3 linked regions of the Callithrix jacchus genome follow. The protein of the gene in region 3 purifies or fractionates together with the protein of the main gene of each other region. This does not show direct contact. Links are inferred from orthologs where the notes say so. Each region holds a gene or a part of one and is shown on either strand. Other genes may lie near its edges. The genes, in order: LIG3, CHD1L and APLF.

The links.
Region 1: the proteins of APLF (region 3) and LIG3 purify together in Homo sapiens (affinity purification with mass spectrometry; 3 studies listed by BioGRID and IntAct, counting the BioPlex papers as one, with this or other methods). This does not show direct contact. The link is inferred for Callithrix jacchus from reciprocal best matches to the Homo sapiens genes APLF and LIG3.
Region 2: the proteins of APLF (region 3) and CHD1L purify together in Homo sapiens (affinity purification with mass spectrometry; 4 studies listed by BioGRID and IntAct, counting the BioPlex papers as one, with this or other methods). This does not show direct contact. The link is inferred for Callithrix jacchus from reciprocal best matches to the Homo sapiens genes APLF and CHD1L.

The regions. Positions count from the first base shown.
Region 1 is NC_133506.1:99,179,074-99,182,728, reverse strand, and holds part of LIG3 (DNA ligase 3), read left to right. Parts: intron 1-2,490; coding exon 2,491-2,691; intron 2,692-3,655. UniProt on the Homo sapiens protein: Isoform 3 functions as a heterodimer with DNA-repair protein XRCC1 in the nucleus and can correct defective DNA strand-break repair and sister chromatid exchange following treatment with ionizing radiation and alkylating agents.
Region 2 is NC_133519.1:7,397,115-7,400,769, reverse strand, and holds part of CHD1L (chromodomain-helicase-DNA-binding protein 1-like), read right to left. Parts: intron 1,659-3,655; coding exon 1,510-1,658; intron 680-1,509; coding exon 516-679; intron 1-515. UniProt on the Homo sapiens protein: ATP-dependent chromatin remodeler that mediates chromatin-remodeling following DNA damage.
Region 3 is NC_133515.1:45,393,567-45,397,221, forward strand, and holds part of APLF (aprataxin and PNK-like factor), read right to left. Parts: intron 2,600-3,655; coding exon 2,452-2,599; intron 2,137-2,451; coding exon 2,004-2,136; intron 1-2,003. UniProt on the Homo sapiens protein: Histone chaperone involved in single-strand and double-strand DNA break repair.

The sequences.
Region 1 (3,655 bases), on a different chromosome or scaffold from region 3:
AGATGTCACGCATGGATCTCCCTTCTTGATTCTTACAACTATTTGTTCAAAACACTGCAACTTCATAGAACACAGCAGGAAGGAAAAACAAGATCTGAAGGATATTGCTATTTGTTATTGATATATGCTATTACTATCTGAAGGAGGCAGTAAAGCCCAAGGATGAAGCTTGCATACTTTGGAATCAGTGAGCTCTGGATTCAAATCCCATTTCCTAAAGGGGAGGATTGTGGCTATTATTTGTATATTCTTGGCAGGATAGATGAGCAATAAAGTGTTAAGTTTCCTCTTCTCTTCACTATAATATACATGCACACACGTGTATACACACATATATGGTTTCTTTTATATAAAATATTAAATTGCTATTTCATAGAGATTCAGGAAGACTTTGCTGGGGCATGTGGTGTAAATGAGAGTTGAGAAGATCGGGATCATTTATTGGCCTTATGTAAACAGACAGCATTGAGCTAGGTGCTTTTACATATGTGGTTTCATTTGTTCTCCAGTTAACCCTAGAGAGTACATTTATTTAGAAAGGCCCTTTTTTATGACTGAGAAAGTTGAAGTTCAGGGTCATTATGGAGTTAGCATTTGCACAGAAGTCTTGCTCCAGTACCTGTGCTCTTTTACACTGCACTTTTTTGCTGCTTTTATTGCTTGGAGATGTTCTTGTGATTGACTCAGTTGAAGAAAATAAAGTCAAACCACTTGGCCTTATTGTAGAAGTCATTTGGAAATTTTTTTGTCTTTTTTTTTTTTAATATTTTTTATTTATTTTTTTAATATAAAGACGGGGTTTCACCATGTTGGTCAGGCTGGTCTTGAACTCCCAACCTCAGGTGATCTGCCCAAATTGGCCTCCAAAGTACTTAGATTATAGGTGTGAGCCACCACGCCTGGCCATCATTTGGAAATTGAAAGACACTTTATGTGATTGAAAGAAGCCTATACCTGAGGTCAGAAGACTTGGGTTCTGGTCCTGGCACTACTCCTTGACAGCTCAGAGCCCTTAGCAAGGCCTCACCTCTCTTTAGCCTCTGGCTATGAAGAGCAGTGGCCTCTCCTACCATAGTGATATGTGCAGCATACTATGGGAGCATAGGCAGCAATATATAGATGACTTTCCCCTCTGCTTCCTTGAGTTTATGTACTTATTTGTTTAAGCTCCATCATATCTCCATGCTTCATCTACCCCATAGTGTTCTCATGAGGTCTATAAGAGATAACATTGCAAAAACGGTGCCTGGCTCTACAGGATTTTTATTATTTTAAAATTCTGAGGTTGGTTGGTTTGTTGTTTGCTGGTAGACCAAAGATATAGAAGAGTCCAGGTGAAATAAGGACAGCATATTTCTGGAAGGGCCTTAGTGTTGGGGATGGAATTTGGGAGGAGTTGAGAGAAACAGGGTGTTTTAGTTCTTGCAACCTGGTTGAACATTGGCACTTTGGAGACTGTCCCTTAAAATCGTATTTAGATTCCGGGTCAGAGATGAGGATGGATTTATAATTTACAAAGCCCAGACAAGAAGCAGCTTACAACAGCACCCAGCTTAGTAATGACCGTGTCATAAGCTTACAGAATAAAATTTGCTTCTTAAATGGTCACAAGGAGGTGAGAGGGAATCATTGATGAGTTGTGCATAATTATTTTTAACTGTCTGGAGGAAAGCCCTGCCCCTTGACCACATTTTTTAAAAAATTATTCATTTATTTTTTAATAACTGCTCCTGGGGAGCAGGGTTTTATTTTGGCAATAAGAAAAGAAAGGTTAAAGCAGTGAGGGTCGGGATGTTGAGTGTACTTGTGGGATGTGACTTTCTTAGTAGTGTCTTTGTCCTGGCTCTTTCAACGAGCAAGTGGGCCAGGAAGTCATTTGCTCTTCTCAGACGTCAGCCCCCTCATCAGTAAAAGAATGTCGAACTAGATAATCTTTAAGGCTTCTTCTAGCTCTGACAACCTGTGAGAGCGGTAATTTCACATGGACTAACGTGTACCTTGATTTCTTACCCCTTTCTTATGCCTGCTTTTCTAAGGTGAGCTTTACAATTGCTCTGAGATCCTTCTGACCACTTGATTGATTGATTGAGACAGGATCTTACTATGTTGCCCAGGCTGGTCTCCAACTCCTGGACTCAAGCAGTCCTCCCGTGTTTGCCTCCCATAGTGTTAGGTGTGAGCCACTGGGCCCAGCCGGTCCTGATCATTCTTGCATGACTTCAGTCTATTCTTTTGTGAAGTGCTCACATAAAGAGATGCATATCAGTCTGGTCCTTTGCTTGGGTCTGAGGAGGACATTGTTCCTTTACCATTAATTAATAGCTGTAAGATTTCGGAAAATTATTTGACCTCCATTTCTTTATCTGTAAGATGGGTCTGATGTCATCTACCCCAAAGGTCTCTTCAGGGAGAGTAAATGAAGCTAAAGTACCGGCAGAATGTCTTTCTTCCCAGAAAGGCTGAATGAATTCATCTCTGTTGTTTCTCCAGCAGCCAAACCCAACACCTCTGGGGAAGCCCCCTCAAGCCCCACCCGTAAGACAAGTCTGTCTTCAAGCAAATGTGACCCCAGGCATAAGGACTGTCTGCTACGGGAGTTTCGAAAGTTGTGCGCCATGGTGGCTGATAATTCTAGCTACAACACCAAGACCCAGATCATCCAGGACTTCCTTCGGAAAGGCTCAGCAGGAGGTGTGGCATGAGCATCCTGAATAGGCTTTTACTCCAAGAGCTCAAGGCCATGGCTGCCTTCCTGGGCATGTGAGCTGTACAGTTGCTCAGGGTCCCATGCTTGGATTAATGCTTTACTGTAGTGCTGTCTTGAAATTCTTATTGATTTTGAACAAGGGGCCTCGCATTTGCATTTTGCACTGTACTCCACAAATTATGTATTCAGTTTTGCTCAGAGCACTTTGGCGTCTTTCTTCCTCTCCCCTTAGTCTGCCCCTAGGAAGCCAGAGAACCCATTCTATTTGACTAGTTAGAAAATTTACTGTCCTGCATATTTAATTTGGTTTTTGTGAACCATATACACAGCTTGAAATAGAATCTTCCAACTCTGTTTCTTTCATTTATCTAACAACTTGTCACTGAGCATCTGTAATGTCCTTGTCACTGGGCATGCGAAATGAAAGTAACCACCCTGTCCAATGAGAGTTCATCTATAGGCTAAAGGTGAGGCAGACACACAATCCACCAGCCTCTGAACTCTGTGCTTTCTCCTACTGTAGCGATACACACAGGTTACTATAGGAGCATGGGCAGTGATACACAGATATGTTTTGGTCTCTGCTTCTTTGAGTATTTATTTATTGAGACAAAAAATGTGACTGTGTTGCTCAGGCTGGAGTGCACTGGTACAATGTCAGCTCACTGCAACCTCCACCTCCTGTGGTAAAGCAGTCCTCCTGCCTCAGCCTCCCAAGTAGCTGGGACTATAGTCATGTGCCATCATGTCTGGCTAATTTTTGTATTTTTTGTAGAGAAGGGGTTTCACCATTTTGCCCAGATTGGTGTCTAACTCCTGGATTCAAGTGATCTGCCTACCTTGACTTCCTAAAGTGTTGGGATTACAAGCATGAGCCACCACACCAAGCCTGAGTTTATTTATTTTATTTTATTATTTTTGAGATGGAGTCTCAATCTTTCACCAGGC
Region 2 (3,655 bases), on a different chromosome or scaffold from region 3:
CTTAAACTTTTCTGGTTTTGGCCAGGTTTTGGCCAGTAACCTCCCAGCACTTTGGAGGTCAAGGCAGAAAGATAGCTTGGGTTCAGGAGCTTGAGGCAAGCCTGGGCAACAAAATGAGACTGTCTCTACAAATAATAAAAAAATTAGCCACCCATGACAGCACACACCTGTGGTCCCGGCTACTAGGGAGGTTATGGAGGGTAGATCACTGGAGCATGGGAGGTTGAGGCTGCAGCGAGCAGCAACCGTACCCACTGTACTCCAGCCTGGGTGACAGAGCAAGAATCCATCTCAAAAAAATTTAAAAAATTCTAGTTTCAATGGAATCCATCTTCCCTGCCTCACGCACTTGGGACTTTTCACTTACAGTAAGCATTTAAAAAGTATCCTGTTACCAATAGGAACAAGCTTAAAAGAAATCTTCTGTATTTTTAAAGTGATGCTCAACTGTGGTCTCACTACATGAGGGACTCTTTTACCAACTGTGGTCCGCAGCTTGGTTAATGCACACATACTTTTTCTTATGCTGAGCATCTTCCTTTTGCCTCCTCTTCTCCTCGATGATTCTCCTTCTCTTAGCAGCTGCTTCTTGTCTTTTCTTCTGCCTGTCCTCCAGCTCTTCAGGGCTCAGAACCCGCTTCCTTTTGGTAGATCCCTCCACAAGGCCTGGGATGAGAACCTAGAGTAGGAACAAGATCCATCACCAGGGTCAAGAATGTTCCTCCCTACGTTTCATTATCCCCACAGCACACTGTACAGAAGCAACATGCTTAATATTTCAGAGAACACTGCATCTCCACCCACCCACCCTGCATGGTGGGAACTGAAGGCAAAGCACTTGAAGGCACAGTTCATATTACACAGTTCACAGGCAGTGACCAGGATACCCTGCTCTTAACTCAGCCGCAGCACTGACATGGTGGAAACAGTCATTTTGATTCATTTCATTAGGAATAAGTTACTTCAGAAAAGTAACTTTTTTCCTTGACTGAAAGCATACCCTGAAGGATGCCACTTTAGCCATTTTTAATGAAAACCTTTCTGCAATGTATTATATAGTTTTGTTAAGACTATATTTTAATATCATGATTATCTTAGTAATAGCATTTAATGAGCACATATTAACTGCCAAACACTGTGAACATTACATATATCATTTATGATTGATATCCTCTCCTATTGCCATAGGGTCATAATTACCAACAGCAGGATATGGTACTTTAGTATAATATAGGGATGCTTTTAGGGGTGATTTGGATGGACAAGGCTGCTTTCACCTGCACTAAATCGTACAATATATTCTCTCCTTCTTAATGTTTTTCTATGCTGACTTTTTACCATAGTTTTTATACCAGGGTATGGTTAATTATATTAACATTTCAACAAACACATACTTATTTCTTGACAAGTTAACCTACGAGAACAAAATGATGCCAGCATCATTTATGTTTTGTTTTCTTAGAACGAGAGTTTGGAAGAAGATCTTTTAAATAAATTAACAGTTCTTACACTGCCTTTATTTCGGAGTGATCGGCCCTCTTGAGTGGTTTTCTCCAAAAGGGTTTTCTGAAGGTTTACCAGTTGTTCAAATGATTTTCTGTCTTCCTTACTGGGCTCTTTAGAGTAATCTTTCCCTTCAAATAAGTACATATGATTTTCTAACAATATAGAACACAAAGAGAGAAGTGTTAGATACCAAGGAAAAACAGATTAATGCTATTCAAAGCAATAACTAGAGTGGATAAGAAAACAGCCTATATTCTAAATGAGCTAAGACTGGATGAAGGTATTTCGTTTCTCATCCCCCTGACACTAAAGTAAGTAGGTTCTACGTAAGGATCCCATGTGTTTACTCTTCCAAGGGGACAGCATGGCTTAAATCCTTTTGGTTCATCTCTACATGGTTTGTGAATCTCTGGCGGATTCCTCCATTTATTCCTCATTCATTCATTCATTCATTCATTCCCAAGTATTCCTCAGCACAAATCTCAGTGACATTAAGATCATCCAATAAAATCTATACGTTTTATTCCAAATACACTTTTAGTATTCAACTTGGCAAATCTAAGAATCATAAAAATAATCCCTTGGATTTACAATATTCCTTACAGATCTCATCAAGCATCTTCATGATCCTCACCACAATCCTGGTATATAACTAATCCTACTTTGGAAGGGGGAACTGAGGGTTGGGCAGAAATTAAGGGACTCTATAATTCTCACTGGTAATAAATGAAGAGGCAGGATTTTCTGATTCTAAGGCCAGTGTGCTCTTTTCAGTATGTAACTGTGTCTCTAGAAGGGTGGAGAGAAAACGTGCTAGCAAATAATAATTATTGTAATAACAACAGCAGTGAAGATAACAGTGTAATTTTGAATAGCACTGCGTGCTATCAGATCACTTCCACAACTATTATCGTGTCTGATTTTTCCAACTGTGTAAAAGAGTAGAGTAGACATTAACAGGACCCTTCTACAGATGAGAACACAAAGGCTCAAAGAGGCTGAGTGATCTGCCAAGATCATGAATAAAGTGATGAAGGAAAGTCAGGACCAGTCCAGACTAGCAACCACAGACAGGTAAGGTAATGATTCAACAGGGAAGCATATTTAGTAGCACAAGTTACCAAATAATGTATTTTCACATTTCTGAAATCTGCTAAGTATGTTTTCCCTAGAGAGTATGAAAGCAAAACATTTTCATTCTCAAGAGATCAATTGCTTCACACTTGTACCCAAATCTAACCAGCTGTAGTTGTAATTGGCGTTGCTAATTAAATCAGCAGGGGGCTTTCAATGAAGCACTTTATCAACAAGTAAAAGAAAAACAGAGCTGAGAAGTGTCAGATATGATCAACATATGTAGCTTCATACTGCATGTGATTCTCAACTTCCAAACATGCTTTTTAACCCTGGCATTCAAGATAAAGCAACCCTGTTTTTTATCTAATTCTGATGGGGGCCACGTGAATTACCAATCTTTCCTATCCATTTATATTCTTTGTAATCATGCTCCCTATCTTCACTCTGCCACCGCCTGGACCCGTATCTGTATTCTACCAGGACAATCATTTACCACAGAGCGAACTTATACCCATTCTTCAAAGAGAAAATCCCCAAGTTTAATACAACTGGCGAATTTTTCTGGCAGTTGGACTGTCTAAAAAAGTAAAATTATTTTAGGCAGTTGGATTGACTGAGAAATATAATTATCTTTCTGGAAAAGTGTGCGACTTTATTTTGTTCTAGTAAACGTTAGCAAAATAGGCTGAAATTATCTAGATAAGTACAGAAACGAGTGTAAGCGTTGCTACTCAATATAATCAATTGTAACTTAAAAATATGATTACATGCATCTATTTCTTCTCTCACCTGAAACCACCAAGTGACACTTAAAGGGATTTTTAAAAAGATATACAAGGCAACGGTGGATGAAAAAGTTCAATGACCTTTTGGAAAATGAAAAGTGGCTGGAGGAATAATAACAGATTAAGAAGAGCCATGGAAGCAAACACAGGTGCCTAGCCAAGGGCTCATTATGAGTCTAGAGACCCTCTCAATCCCCCAAGAGCTTAGGGCTTACAAGTGCAGCATACTGCACGGGGCAGAACTGAGAAAGATCTGCACCCCACAAAGCAGTGAGCCCTTGACTCAT
Region 3 (3,655 bases):
CTTATTTTGAAGCTTTAGCATTTTAAGTACGTTGTACACATGTAATATTCCAGACCAAGGTCAAATTACTCTCATTATGTATTTTCAAAGTGAAGTGCCCAAAAAGATGCTTCATATTTTATATGGAACATCTATCAAGTGAAAGAAAATGTATCTGAAACAAAATACATGTTGAACTACTATAAGTGGTAGCACAGAAGCAGTTGCAGTGTAAAACAACTCGGAAAGAAAAGGAGTTGTTTGCAGAGACCAGGTCACATTGGTCCAATTTTTGGTCAAGTCTTTCTTTTATCAGAGAAACTGTCCTACTGAGGGAAAGTGCCTGCACCTCCCCACTATCATTCCCCACATCCTTCCTACAAATTGAGGATCAACACATACAGCCAGAGATGTTACTGATAAAAATACATATATATATTAAACATGAATTGTGGGGGTGGGGAGAACTGAAAACAACTGTACTTGAATAAAACTTACTGCAAATCTCCAGATTAAACCACGTCCCCTTTAACACATAACGTATACTATACTTTTCCCATGAGAACACTTTGATCCTAGTATAATCCAAACTAGCGTTAAATAAGATAAATTCTGTGAATAAAATATTTAATCCGAAATGTTAGAAGAATTCTATGACCACTATGCAAAATACACAAAGCACCAAGAGTATAACTTTCCAACTAAAATGTGTATTCATTTGTGCTGTTAATTTTTTTAAAATAATGTTTAAGGTAAAATGGCAAAATAGCATAACTAAACTAATTACTGCAAATAAAATCATTATAAATTCAGGATAAAAAAATATTTAAACTATCTGTAGGCACTGGAGATTGACCAAAGAGGCAGAGTTGAAGAAGCGTCGATGATGAAATTAACTATAACCTATGAGGTTTGTGAACTTGTGACTTTTTTCCTGAGGGCATTCTCCAATTCACTTGTGGCAGAAACCTTACTGGTTTAAATGGTCAGAGCAGAGAGTTTAAGGCTAGAAGAGAGAGAGAGGGGTGAGGGATAAAATCCTGGAGGGAAGGCAGCCTCAGAAGGGGCAAGAGCAAAAAACCTACCTATAAACTTGACCCAAATTCTTGGTTGACTGCTAGACTACATTTGCATGGGGCCAACCCCAGTGACTCAGAGAAAAATGCAGCAGCTAGAAAGTGAAAGAACTACATAGAGACTGCAGCTGTCATCCATAACAGGTGAAACAGTGTAGACTCTGAATCCAGCCAAATTAATTGCTATTACAACAAAAATACTTCTTCTGAGGAATATAACATAATTAAGAGCAATGTATCATCCACAATATCCAATATCGACAGAAAATCACAAGGCACAGAATACACAGGAAATGTGACCCCTATAAAAAACAAGCAGTCAATAAAAAATAAGTCTGAAATGACAAAGTTGTGCACAGATGCAGACTTTAATGCAGCTATTATAAATATGATCAAAGACTTCCAGAAAAATATACAAAAGATTGAATAAATAGAGAATCTTATCAGAGAAACATAAACTATACAAAAAAAACCCAAATAGGAATTTTAGAACTAAAAAGTACAGTAACTAAAATTAATAATTTGCTAAATAGACTTAACAGCAAATTAGAGATGGCAGAAAAAACAATCAGTAAACTTGAAGGTATATCAATTCATCTGGCATTTTTAAACATTAATTTTAAACATTCTTCTTGTGCTGGCCTTTTATCCCAGACATAGCACCAAGAGGTTTCTTTGAAAGTCTTTATTAATATAATTCTAGCACATAATAGCACTTGTTAAATGAAAACAAGTGTTTTAATAAATAGTATAAATGGTATTTGATAAATGGTAATAGCTTATGTTTTAAATTAGACTTCATGTTCACATCTAAAAAACACTAGGCTAAGCTATACACTTATAAAACTCTATCGCTATAGAGACAGTTCATAGATTTTCTTCAGAAAAACTTTCAAATTCTGTTTAATATTTTCTTGAAAGGCAGCATTAGTAGAAACAAAAACCTACCTCCACTGATTGCTGGTACTGAAAGGTTTTGATCACTTAAATGTTCTGCTAACATCCAAGCTGGAAGGATTCTTTTCCTCTCAGCAAGGACTGGCTGCTGCTTACTGAAGTCTCTACATTCACCTAGGAAAGACTAAAAAGACACCTATAAATTACTAAAAATAATCATACATCCTTAATGAATTTGTAAAATATTTGGTTTACCGAATGCTACCATTAAAACACCCATATGCAACTGTATACTGAGTTCATCAAATTTCTTAAAGAAATTAATTATTTCTATTAAATGCTGGACTACTGCCATATTCTCTAGAGCTTAACTTAAAATCAGCAAAAGTTGATAAATGCTAGCAATACTGTCATAATAGATCTAATTTCAGTTGTCTTTTCTGCCTTTATAATAACTTGAAGAACATGTTATCAATGAATGAGATCTCAAATTTCTCACCACACTATTTGTGGTAGTCATCTGGGTCCTGGCTATTTCTGCACTTCCTTCCAGTTGTGAGGCACCAGTAGTCTCATGAGATAAATTAATAACAGGGGATTTTGGTGTTTCATTCAATACATTATCTTCATCAAGCATTTGACTGTTTCTATAAGATAAAATAGAAACTTGTCTTAAATTTTAATACATTTCTGCTGCTTTCAGACTACATCTGAGTTACATCCCTTTTCTCAGACTTAGCAAAAACAAAAAAAAGCAGATTATAGTATACTAGAATCAAAGATATAGACTACAGTATGTTCTTTATTTCCTACCTGCTAGCCATGAAATTCATCAATCTTTCCAAATCATGGGTCTAGAAACCCCAATTACTTATGAGATGTGTGGCAGCCTTCTCTCTCAAGGCTTACAAGCTCTTTATTTGATATTTGTGCAGATAGTCCATAAAAATTAAGACCACCATCCAGCCTTCAGAGAGATCATGTAAACTGCAATGGTGTCAGTTAAGCTAGTTAGACTCTTAGAGAAAAAAATAAATAAAATCCTGAGTTTCAGTTGACACACAGCTGCTACCGAAGTTCAGGCAAGTATTAATAGGGCTACTTATGAAGTATCCCCAAACTGCAGTATAGCTACAAGCCAAATGTTCTGGCACAGGAACATCCATGGTCACATGTGGGACATACTAGGAGAACCAATTACCTCATACTCTCTGCAATATGCAGTAAGGTCATCCAAAGTTGTTGGGTCATTATTATTTATGTGGTATGCATAGACATGATCCAACAAATTTGCCTTTTTGAAAATTTGAAACTATAGACGAACTACTACTCAGAAATAACAAGGAATGAACTATTGATGTGTGTATGAATGCATATGCACCCCAAAGGCATTTTGCTAAGTGAAAGAAGCCAGACACAAAAGACATATTGTATTACTCCATTTATATAACATCCTGAAATGCAAAGCTACAAGGACAGAAACCATATTAATGGTTGCCAGGGATTTGTAGTGGAATGAAGGGACACACTACAGAGAGCCATGAGAGAATATGTGGGGAAATGGAAATGTTCTATATCTCACTCTGGTAGTATTTTAAATGACTATATTATCATTTTTAGTGTATTGAATTGCACTTTCAAAAGGGTTGAATTCTACTGTGTGTAAATTGTCCTCATTAAAAGTGAATTTTTAAAAACTAAGA